3 linked regions of the Coturnix japonica genome follow. The protein of the gene in region 3 purifies or fractionates together with the protein of the main gene of each other region. This does not show direct contact. Links are inferred from orthologs where the notes say so. Each region holds a gene or a part of one and is shown on either strand. Other genes may lie near its edges.

Region 1 (3,652 bases), on a different chromosome or scaffold from region 3:
GTGTCATAAGTCTTTAGGAATGCCCATAAGTGATAGATGGCTTTCTTTGAATTGTGCACTGAGCAACTCAATGTAATGTAGGACTAGAGGGGTTCGCTGTGGGTCTGAGGTTTGATGGGCAGGGATGCTTCTCATGGGCCCACTGTGTCTGGGGTCAGAAGGTGAAGGCAGTGACTGCACAACCCTGCTGTGTGCTGCCTCTGCTTAGTCCACGAGGGACCTCTGAGCACTTGGTATGAATTTGCTCCACCAGTCCACAGTTGTGAGCATCGCTGCAGCCTTGTGCAGCTCCAGAAGTTCCCTTTTGTGCTGCTCCACTGCACCGCATCTCGCTGCAGATTCTGATAAGAAAATATCTGCACATCTGATCTCTAGGGGCTGTGCACCACTGCAGGGATAACTCCCTTTGCTGCTTCAGCAAAATGGGATGAACCTCTGAGTACCAGCAAAATGAGAAACGTTTAGCTGTGCGGCTCCCTTGGTTTGGAAAATGTGACCCTGTACTCTCAGAGGTAGAGCTGGTTTGGAAAGAAAAGTTTGCTCAGTGCAATTGGTTTGGAATCTGAACATATTCATTACACCATAAATCAGCGTGGTGTGATTCTTGACAGGGTTTGGGAAGCAGAGCCGAAGCAGTGATGATTTCACAAGATGGCAGCTGTTTTTTATGAGTGATAATATTGACCTTGGCTGGGTTTTTGTCATCATTCTGGGTTCCTTTTGTGGTAGAGGAGTAGAACTGAGCCCAGCATGGCTGATGGGTGAAACCATCTTCATTGGGATGGTCTGGGTTTGTGCTGGCCCTTTTGCTAATGGAGCGCTCTGTGGTGATTTGCAGTCGCAGTGCCAGGAGCTGAGGAAGAGGAAACAGCTTGAGCTGCAGATCCTTTCTGAATCCATCCAGCGCTGGGAAGGAGAGGACATAAAAACAATGGGAAACATCATCTACATGTCCCAGGTCATGGTGCAGAGCGGGGGCAGTGAGGTGAGTGCATCTCCTGCACGAAAGCATCATGCCCCAGTGCTGTGTTAACACAGCATGTTACTTTCCCTCTTTTCCTCCATGACTTACTCTGAGCAATGAGAAATGAGGGTGCCTTGTTGCTATCTGTTAATGACACCTGTTGCCATGTCCTGCATGCATTCTGTGACAGGCAGAACCCACTGCCTAAGTGTCACACCTGTACCTCCAGCAGGCACCCATCAATAGTGTTAGACCCATTAATACTGTGTGCTGGGTGTCTGCTTGGTGGGTGGTGCCTGTTAGCATTGACTTGTTTGCTTCCCTATGACCTGTTCTGCAAAGCCCTGCAGAGTCCAGTCCCCAAGTTCTGTTTGGGATGTGAGGTGCTGGGGACATGAGGTCTTGGTCTTCTGATGGGGAGGGGAAATCAATTATATCTTCAGAATCAGCAGGATGCGGAAGGAACTGTTTGCTCAGAAAAGCCAATGCAGAAATAAGATGCTGTAAAGAAAAGAAAAAGCCAAAATGAGTGGTTTGGGGTTGGTCCCTCTCAGATCGTGGCTGCAATTGCAGCAGGTTTGGTTTGCTGCAGGGGAGTGCTTGTGCTGCACTTCAGACTGGCCTAACCTCCATTCTTGTCCTGGCAGGAGAAAGAAGAGCGATATTTCTTGTTGTTTTCAAACGTTTTGCTCATGCTGTCTGCAAGCCCGAGAATGAGTGGGTTCATCTATCAGGTAGGCATGCTTGATTTGAAGCTGCAAGGCATCGGGTGTGGAAAGGATATCAGATATCTCTTCATCAAATTTGAATCTCTGTTGTGATGTAAATGGGCTGGGAAGCTGGGCTGTGTTCTGCCACATGTGCCAGGGCACACTGCGAGCACCTCTGTGCTGCCAATGGGTTAGACAGCATTTGGGAAGTGTGAATGCTCTGCAATTAGAACACAGAACCACACCAATACCTGTCCTGCATGCTGTTCTCAAGCATTCGGTGTGTGTTGGGTGTCCTGAGCTCACTGTGGGGTTTTTCCCCATACAAACTGCCTGTTAGTGGATGATATCTCACAGTCATATGTGAAGGTGATGAGGCAGATGGTGAAGGTTTGGGAAGGATTTGGCTGAGTTTTGAGATGTCACCCACCAGTGGGAGGGAGGTGAGCAGGCAGTGCATCACACAAAGCAGAGGCACAGGGAAGGTGTTCAGAAGGACCAGGGAAAGTTGGTAGTCCTGACTTCAGTGTAAAAAGGGTGAGTAGAATGAGTGGCAGGTGAGCCTCTGCTCAGGGGTTTAACCTGGTTGTGCAGGGAAATTTAGATCCATACATCAGAGGCACCTCTTCCTACAGTCTGAGGCTTTCACAAAATAGTTTCTAATGGCAGTTCCCAGAGAAGGGAATCAGCAGAAAGGAGCAGAACAACGCCCATGCAGGAGGCAGTCGCAAACACTGATTCCTGCTCACTTCTCCTAGGGAAGGCTGCCTTTAACAGGAATGACGCTGACAAAGCTGGAAGATGCAGAAGGGAATGAGCATGTGTTTGAAATCGCAGGTCAGTGTGTGGCCTCTTCCTGGGGCTGCTTGAGTGCGAGCAGCAGCTGCCACCAGTACCAGTTCTCCTCCTCTTTGCTCTTGTACTGTGTGCTGTCCACGTTCTGGACATCTCCCCATGCCAACCCAGCTAAAGCTGGCTGTTTGACCCCCTGTTGCAGGGAACATGATGGAGCGCATCACTGTGTCCTGCAGCACCAGCCAGGACTTGCACGAGTGGCTTGAGCACTTGCAGAGGTTGACCAAAGGGACGTGCAACACCGTGTCCAAAACACAGTCCTGGAGCACCCATTCGGTAAGTGAGCTCCCTCCCAGCCTGCCTGCTGCCCGCTGTTCCTCAGTGCTGGCTGAGCTTTTTCTCATCCATTTTCTCAGACATTTGGCTCCACCGGTCAGATCCGTGGTCCCCTGGAGCCCCCCAAAATCCTCAAACCCTGGAGCTTGAGCTGCCTCCGTCCCGCTCCTCCCCTCCGACCATCGGCAGCGCTGAGTTACAAAGAGGTAATGCCGTGTGCCTGGTGAGCACTGTGATTCCTTAACACTTGTGTTCAGCCATCTTACCCCAGTGTGGGTTTGCTGCTCCTTTAGGCAACAGGGATGCTGAGAGAAAACGCTGTGCAAATGAGTGATGCATGCTGGTTGCTGCAGCTGGCTTTGAGCTGCAAGTGAAGCATGAGCGTGTGCATTTACAGGGTCAACCCCATCCCCGGTGTCAAGCCCACAGCTGCACTGAGGGACAGGTCTGGTGTTTTGTATGATTTATACCTATGTTTTGGTGGCCCGAGCAGAGCGGTGCAGCAGCCGTGATGTTTGACCCCATATTCACACACCCATCACCCTCTGGGATGTGTAGCATCCCCCGCAACAACCCCCAGCCTGAGGTAGGAGGCAGCATGGGGAAACCCAAAATAAACCCCTGCTCCCATTCTCACCCCCCACTGCAACTGCAGCATCGTCCTTCCCTACCTTGCATTAAACTTTTGGGATTACTCACCAGTAACGTGGCAACGTTCCTCTTACTGACTGAGCACTCCAGTTCTGAGTCACCGGCCTTTCTGGGTACGGCAGTATGGGAGCATCACTGCCTGGGCTCCCAGGAGGAGAGAGATGGGGATGGGGACAGGGCTCATGGGCAGCTCAGC
Region 2 (3,652 bases), on a different chromosome or scaffold from region 3:
CAAAGAGCAGGTGTAGATTTCACACAGCTTGAATTCTAAGCCAGAGATGACAAATGACAGAATTTCAGAAACCTCTGAGCCTTTTTCCATAGAAAGCTGTATGACAGATCTAGCACATGTTACCAGTTGCCACTGAGTTCTGTGTCAGTAACAAAACTCAACACGTACTTCATTTGAAATTCAAAAAGCAAAATACAGCATCCTACATGCTTACAATGCAGGTATCCTTTTGGACATAAGATGTCTCTCCAGACAGAGGAGGGCAAGTATGACCAGGTTTCTAGCTCCTTTTTATTTTTTTTGCCCCAAACATGACTGTATCCAAACTTACATAGATCACATTAGCATGCTTTTCAGAAAGCTGTTTTAAAGGTGGAAGTACGGGCTTAAGGAAGTAAGGCAGAACAGCATTTTGCACAAAAAGAAAAGATATCTGTAGCAATTTCAGATTACTGTCTTGGGTCATCACAGATAGTCTGCATTCATAAATTAAAACAACTTGACGAAAGGAGAAAAACTTATAAACTAGAACACCAGCAAAAGTCATGATTTGGGATTCAAAGAAACCTTCTTAATCAAACTTCCAAAAGAAACCATGATAAAATTAAACATCTGTCCCAGTACAGAGGATAATATATTTCTAATATAAAGAGCTTAAACTATGTTAACAGCAATTCTGTAGGTCAATCTGGAAAATACCTCTCTTGTCATGCCCTCCACCACGATTGCTCACTTTCTACTACAATTTAATGGTAAAGCATATTAAATGTTGTAAGCTGTACAGCGCTTCCAAACATGTTACTAATATGGTGAGGTCTCCAACATGTTTTCCAGTAGTTACACAAAGACTTGGTAGCAATGGAAATACTGTAGGTCATCTCTTCTCAAGCAAGGTACATTGGCTTTCAATAATTAAAAATACAAAGGAAAGGGCAGTTTTTCTCCAAGGGAAGAAAATTCAGAGATGTTCAATAAAGAAATACGCCATTTGCTAAGTTTCACACCACTCCTGTTATTTCCTGACACTGTTTTATGACCTATGTTTCCAGAAGGGAGGATCTGAAATTCTTCATCTGGGAAGGAAGCAGAAAAACTTTCTGAACAGCCCTAATACCTTCGCCATTCCTGCTGAATGGACGGGAATGTAACAGACAGTGTCACCACAAACAAAAACACCCAAACCTGCCTAAAAGAGTCACTGTCTCAACAAATGAGATTCCAAATGAGAAGACTACAGAAAGAAAAGTTTTTAAGCTGAAGGGACCTGAAGCCACCAGCAAAAAGTTTCTTAAACTACAGTTACCCTTTTCATTCTCAATTTAAACAAAGTTACTTTGTAAACAAGTATCTCCAGCACCACACCTTTCATAATTCAAAATAGACAAAACCATGCAGAAGTATTTTTCATGCAAGTGAAACAAACTAAAAAGAAAGAGAGGAACATCAGCAACAGAGAAAGAAAAAAGAGGATAGAATTTTACAATTAACAAAGTGCTTCAATAAACAACTTCTGGTACCCCTAGGTCCAAAAAAACACTGAACTTCTTTCTTACTTCAGATCCACATGTTACCACAGCTGCCTTCCTGTCACAGGACATCATCATTCCTTCTGCAAACAGTAACACTACTTTCCTTAATCATTCATGGGAGTAAGTCATCTCTCCAACACTTCCAGCTTGGGCAAGATAAAGGATTTGTTTGCATTTTCAAATGAGAAACAATAAACAATCCCTGGTGATACACAACACAAAGCCAGCTTTCCCTAAGATTTCATTCAATTCTTTCACTGCAGGTTGAACTACATTTAAGAAAGTCCAATTTAATGTCAAATAAAAGTAAATAAAGTATGCTAAGAATCAGGTACTAATTTCCAACAGGGTAACTTACCATCTTTGTTCAACCATTGTTTTCTCTGTCTGTAGAGTAAAAGCTTGTTGTGGACGTAGGGCAAAAGAAACTTGACACACCAGCTCTCCACACCAAGTTTGTTTTCCACAAGGACTATTGGGCTCCGATTGTATCTTGCTTCAGGACAGGGTATTAATCCAATTTCATCTCTTAAAAAAAAAATAACAGAAAGAAATGCAATTAAATTTACTTCCAGTATTTGACAATTATGTTTTTCAAAACTTCAGCTGTCAGTCCATCACCTTTCCCCCTGTTTATACCAAAATCTGTGCTCATTATTCTCAATTCATCTTTCTTGCTTCTACTCAGACTTGCAGGTACAATAAAATGCATTTTTTAGAAAGTAATCTCCTGCATAATTGTGCTGTCAATTAACTCAGCAAATAAATGATGCAAACACATTTTGGTCTGAATAAAGACCTAATCTGAGCAAAAAAACCCAAAACCAACAGAAAACCCATAATATTTTACATTGCTTTACAATCTATTCAGATACAACATAAAAGGTAGCTGTGGTTTTAGGAAGAGTCTCTGCAAAATGTGTATTATGTCTCCAGTACTGCAAAAGGAGAAAAACAGGAACACTTACAGACATGCTGAAGAGTCTCAATGTAATGATCATTACTAAATAAACAAGCATGAATTCAAAGTCCTTTAAATGCCATGTAAATTTTTTTTGTGATTCTGGACTTTCTCTACTTACTCAGAAATGTTATATAAGGTTTCCCCAAAAATCCTGAACAGAGAAGGTCCTTTTTATGTACTTATTATATTAAACCTTTAATCAACCATCTAGAAATAAACAAAGGATGGCAACTAAAATTCATACCTGCAAACAAAGCAGAAGCATCTCAGGCTTTTTAGTTTCAAGGGGCTATATTATTTTTTTCCTTAGCTTTTAGCATACACGGATGATGAAAGAGCAGTTCTTAAAAGTCAAAAACAGACTGCCAATTATTCACGCTCACTTGGACAAAAAGGAATACAATTCTACACTTTCTACCATGTGTGATTTCACCATCAAATTCTGTTCAATGGAACAAAACTGGAATGATGATGAACCTTATTTTTTTTCAGTACAAGGTCTATAGATACATCCCAAGTGTTGACCCCGTAATCTCAACCCAATTACCACATGCTAATTTTGTTACTGGATAATCTGAGGGTACTGATTTAGTTCACTGTCCTCAGTGGATTATTAGTGAAGCAATTGAAAATGACACCATGTGTTTGTTTAAGAACAAGTATACCTGCTTACTCAGAAAACTGATTTAATATGTCAGACAGCAAAAGAGCACAAATAACCTGAGGTAAGATACTTGCAAATTACTTGGCTCTGTCTCTAGACACACACCCAGGTCCCTTACCCATCTCTTCCATCTCTACTCATCTGAGAAAAGGGAAAAAAAAAGAAGAAAAAAAAAGAGGGAAACACTCAATTTTACTACCTACCGAACTGCAAGCAGTACGTGATTTCCACCTATATTGTTCCACTCAAAAAAATTAAGCCTTTCACAAAGATATTCAGGTTAGACTTATAATGACATTACAGACTGATGCTCTGATGCTTTCAATATGGTGCCTTATAGCTTGAAGTTTGTGCTTCCTGCTGTCTTCATTTCCTTTACAAAGGGAAGACCTCACTGTGGCTTTCTAGTATTTGAAAGGAGCATATAAACAGGAAGGGAACAGCTGTTTATGAGGGTGCATAGTGATAGGACAAGGGGGAAAGGTTTTAAACTGA
Region 3 (3,088 bases):
CAGCTTTTCACTTGTGGTACTGTAACAGAGTTGTGCTGTTTACAATACAGGATGCTTGGCAGGCCTTGAACGTCCCAGTGTTTAACACTGGAGCATTTTATGCCCACTGACAATGCTATAGCAGCACAAAGCCGGGCCCAGCAGCCTTATGAATTAGCATATGTGACCAGCAGCTGCCTCCAAAGCACGGATCTGAGCACTGCTTTACAGCAAGTTATGAATGCTTTCATTAATGGTTACATCAAAGCAAGATTACCTCAAAGCTGATAAGCCATCAAAAAAAAACCCATCTGGATTTAGGTTCAGATTCAACATGAGGAGCCACTGGCTGGCGCTGACCAGCAGTTTGCATTCTCATCATTTAAAACAGAACAATTTCATTTCAGTTCACCACTCCCTCAGTTCTGTTACTGTTTCTCACACACTCATAAGTGACAGGTTTAGTTTCAAACATTTAGAACCGTCTGTAAATACAAGATGAAAAGCCCTTTATTAATTCAGAAGTGAAACACTGATATTTAAAGTGAGATAAGTATGTTTATTAAGGTTCATTCTACTCTAAGATTTATACAGAGAATGGAATGCAATACAAGCTAAGAGCACACCTCAGATCTACCACAAAACCACCACCCCCCTACTCCCTATAAGGGAACTGTAAAAAAATTAAAATAAAGATCAGGAAACCAGTTACTGTTTAACTAACTGCAAGTGGCTTTGTCCAAAGAAGTCAAGCTCAATATTGCATTAGCTTTGTATGCAATAAGAAGTCTCTACAAGCGGAAGTATCACATACATAGGCAAAAAGATCTCCCATGGATACACGAAAACCAGGTTTTCAAGAGCTACATCACAAGGGTAGTTTAAAATTGCCTAAAAACCAGCCACTAATGGCATGCACAGGTCAGTAATCTGAACTTTGGTAATGTCAGTTATTTTTGGTCAAACCTGGATTCCACTTTCAGCAAGAAAAAGGATAAAAACACACCTGTCCTGTGCAGAAAGCAACGCACATCCCATCTCTACCAGCTGGAGGCAGGACTTCAAGACACAGCAGAAGCATGCCAAGATTCATGCCAAGATTGCTGTCAGAAGCTCACTTGATGACCTAGATAACATCTTGCACTACTCACTGGCCTATCAGACAGGACCAACGGGACAAGGAAGAGGGCAGATCTTTTCTTTTTCTTTAAAATTGTACAGCTTTAAGTAACACCAATTTTCCAAAAAGCTTTTGTAAGAAAACCAACAATTTTCCTAAGCTTTACGTAGCTCCCCGAGACACGTTTAATGTTCCTTTCTGAAGCCATCAATACCCTGTAAATCACTGTTTGTTCTTCCTGAGGAAGAAAGCGAAGGTGGTTTTATTTACAACGGTGGAGTCAACGCTTAAGATCGTAACTGGACTTGGAACAGTTAAAAAAAAGTATAATGAAGATGACAACCTGAAGTGCTACTTCCCATACAGAATCCACACTTGGTTCAGTTTTATTCATTGCAGAGTAAAGTAAAAAGACACCCCATCACACTAATAAAAACGCAGATTGAAATTTATACTCAAAAAAAAAAAACCCACTACACATGCAAAGGGAACAATATCCTGCTAACGTAACTTCATTTGCTGCTGCGTTTGTCTAATATTAACAATTATGAACAGAGCAGTGCAACTAGTATTTGGAACAATCCTTACAGTGTTCGAGTATCAGGCACGGCGCTTCACTTCTCTTCACACCACTGGTTCTCCTTACGTACCTGGAAGAACAAAGCAGCTGTGATGTGCTGCAGAGCTTCAGAAGCTCAAGCGAAACGTAAACTCCCATAAGCATTTGGTGTTTACTTACTGTAGAAAGGCATAACATTATGAAATTATGAAGCATCACACGTTAATGCAGCTGAAAAACAGCTAAATTATTAATTTAATAAAGTCCAAATCAAGTACCTGTGCTTCTTCCTCTTCAGTGAAGTCATTCTTAATATTGAATGTCTTGCGAATTTCTTCTGGAGTTTTCCCCTTGATCATGTTGGCAACTGTCTTGCATGTGACATCAAGCAAACCTTTGATGTCCAAGTAATTTGCAGCCTGTAAAACAGTTTCCAAATTTAAAGCTTCCAGATCAACTTCCTGCCTCTGCAGATGTACAACTGAAGTTCTGCTCCCAGCACTGCAGATGCTATAACCACAAAGAGCCAAATCACTGCAAAGCTTCCAGCTGGAACCCTGAATTAACTGTCTACAGTTTCCTTGTCAAACAGGGGCTGTTTCCACCACGAAAGCCCCATCTCCTTTTACACAAGGATTTGGAACCTTGCACAGCTGAGACCTTGGACACCTCAGTGCTGTCATCCAGCTCAGACAGGAGCTGCCGGGTTGAAGAATCACATCAGAAACTAATCCAGCTTTTTTTAAATCCCCATTTCTGCAGAGCTCTAAAACACCACCACAAGTAACAAGCTGTCACAGACCCAACAGCCATGAAAGAGAAACAGACGGCTGTAGGGACACAACTACGGACAAGTATGGGAACTGATAGATAAGCAGGCATAAATTAGTGCCTAGCTTTATGTTAACGAGCATCCACCACTCACCAGTTTCAGCCAGCAGCCACTGTTGGAACTGCTGCCCTCCCCATATTCTCTGCATTAAGAAGTTACTAGAATAAGAAGCATTGAGCCTTATTTTTAAAGCACACAAACAGAGGTCACTGTGCAGGCACAGCCTTCGTGCTTCCACAAATACTTACCAGGATGAGTTCAAACAATGTTCCTTGGTCTACTTTCAGAAATTCTTGATCCCACACAGGGATGTCATCCGTTCTTTTCTCCTTGTTCTCATCATCCTCGGGAGGAGGTGGATCATCTTTGTGATGGGTGCACCACTGAATCACCTAATTACAGTTTTGATAACAAACTTTTACCCAGGTGACTTTCTCATTAGGCCCCAACTCTCACATAACTTTATTTTAGGAGCACTGTACTTCTCAATCTGGATTGATATTAGAATCACATGTTCATGTTTCATCATCTTATATTTGCCTCTTAGAAGAGCCAATCCCCAGACCTGTAACCCAGTAGTCATCCCAAAGCTCAGCTG

Evidence for each region.
Region 1: the proteins of SKP1 (region 3) and ARHGEF6 purify together in Homo sapiens (affinity purification with mass spectrometry; 3 studies listed by BioGRID and IntAct, with this or other methods). This does not show direct contact. The link is inferred for Coturnix japonica from reciprocal best matches to the Homo sapiens genes SKP1 and ARHGEF6.
Region 2: the proteins of SKP1 (region 3) and PTAR1 purify together in Homo sapiens (co-immunoprecipitation; 3 studies listed by BioGRID and IntAct, with this or other methods). This does not show direct contact. The link is inferred for Coturnix japonica from reciprocal best matches to the Homo sapiens genes SKP1 and PTAR1.

What each region holds. Positions count from the first base shown.
Region 1 is NC_029519.1:4,241,865-4,245,516, reverse strand, and holds part of ARHGEF6 (rho guanine nucleotide exchange factor 6), read left to right. Parts: intron 1-838; coding exon 839-985; intron 986-1,611; coding exon 1,612-1,698; intron 1,699-2,432; coding exon 2,433-2,511; intron 2,512-2,671; coding exon 2,672-2,805; intron 2,806-2,885; coding exon 2,886-3,011; intron 3,012-3,652. UniProt on the Homo sapiens protein: Acts as a RAC1 guanine nucleotide exchange factor (GEF).
Region 2 is NC_029547.1:31,243,781-31,247,432, forward strand, and holds part of PTAR1 (protein prenyltransferase alpha subunit repeat-containing protein 1), read right to left. Parts: intron 2,058-3,652; coding exon 1,888-2,057; intron 1-1,887.
Region 3 is NC_029528.1:2,251,604-2,254,691, forward strand, and holds the end of SKP1 (S-phase kinase-associated protein 1), read right to left. Parts: intron 2,883-3,088; coding exon 2,739-2,882; intron 2,078-2,738; coding exon 1,937-2,077; intron 1,750-1,936; coding exon 1,714-1,749; 3' UTR 518-1,713; downstream 1-517. UniProt on the Homo sapiens protein: Essential component of the SCF (SKP1-CUL1-F-box protein) ubiquitin ligase complex, which mediates the ubiquitination of proteins involved in cell cycle progression, signal transduction and transcription.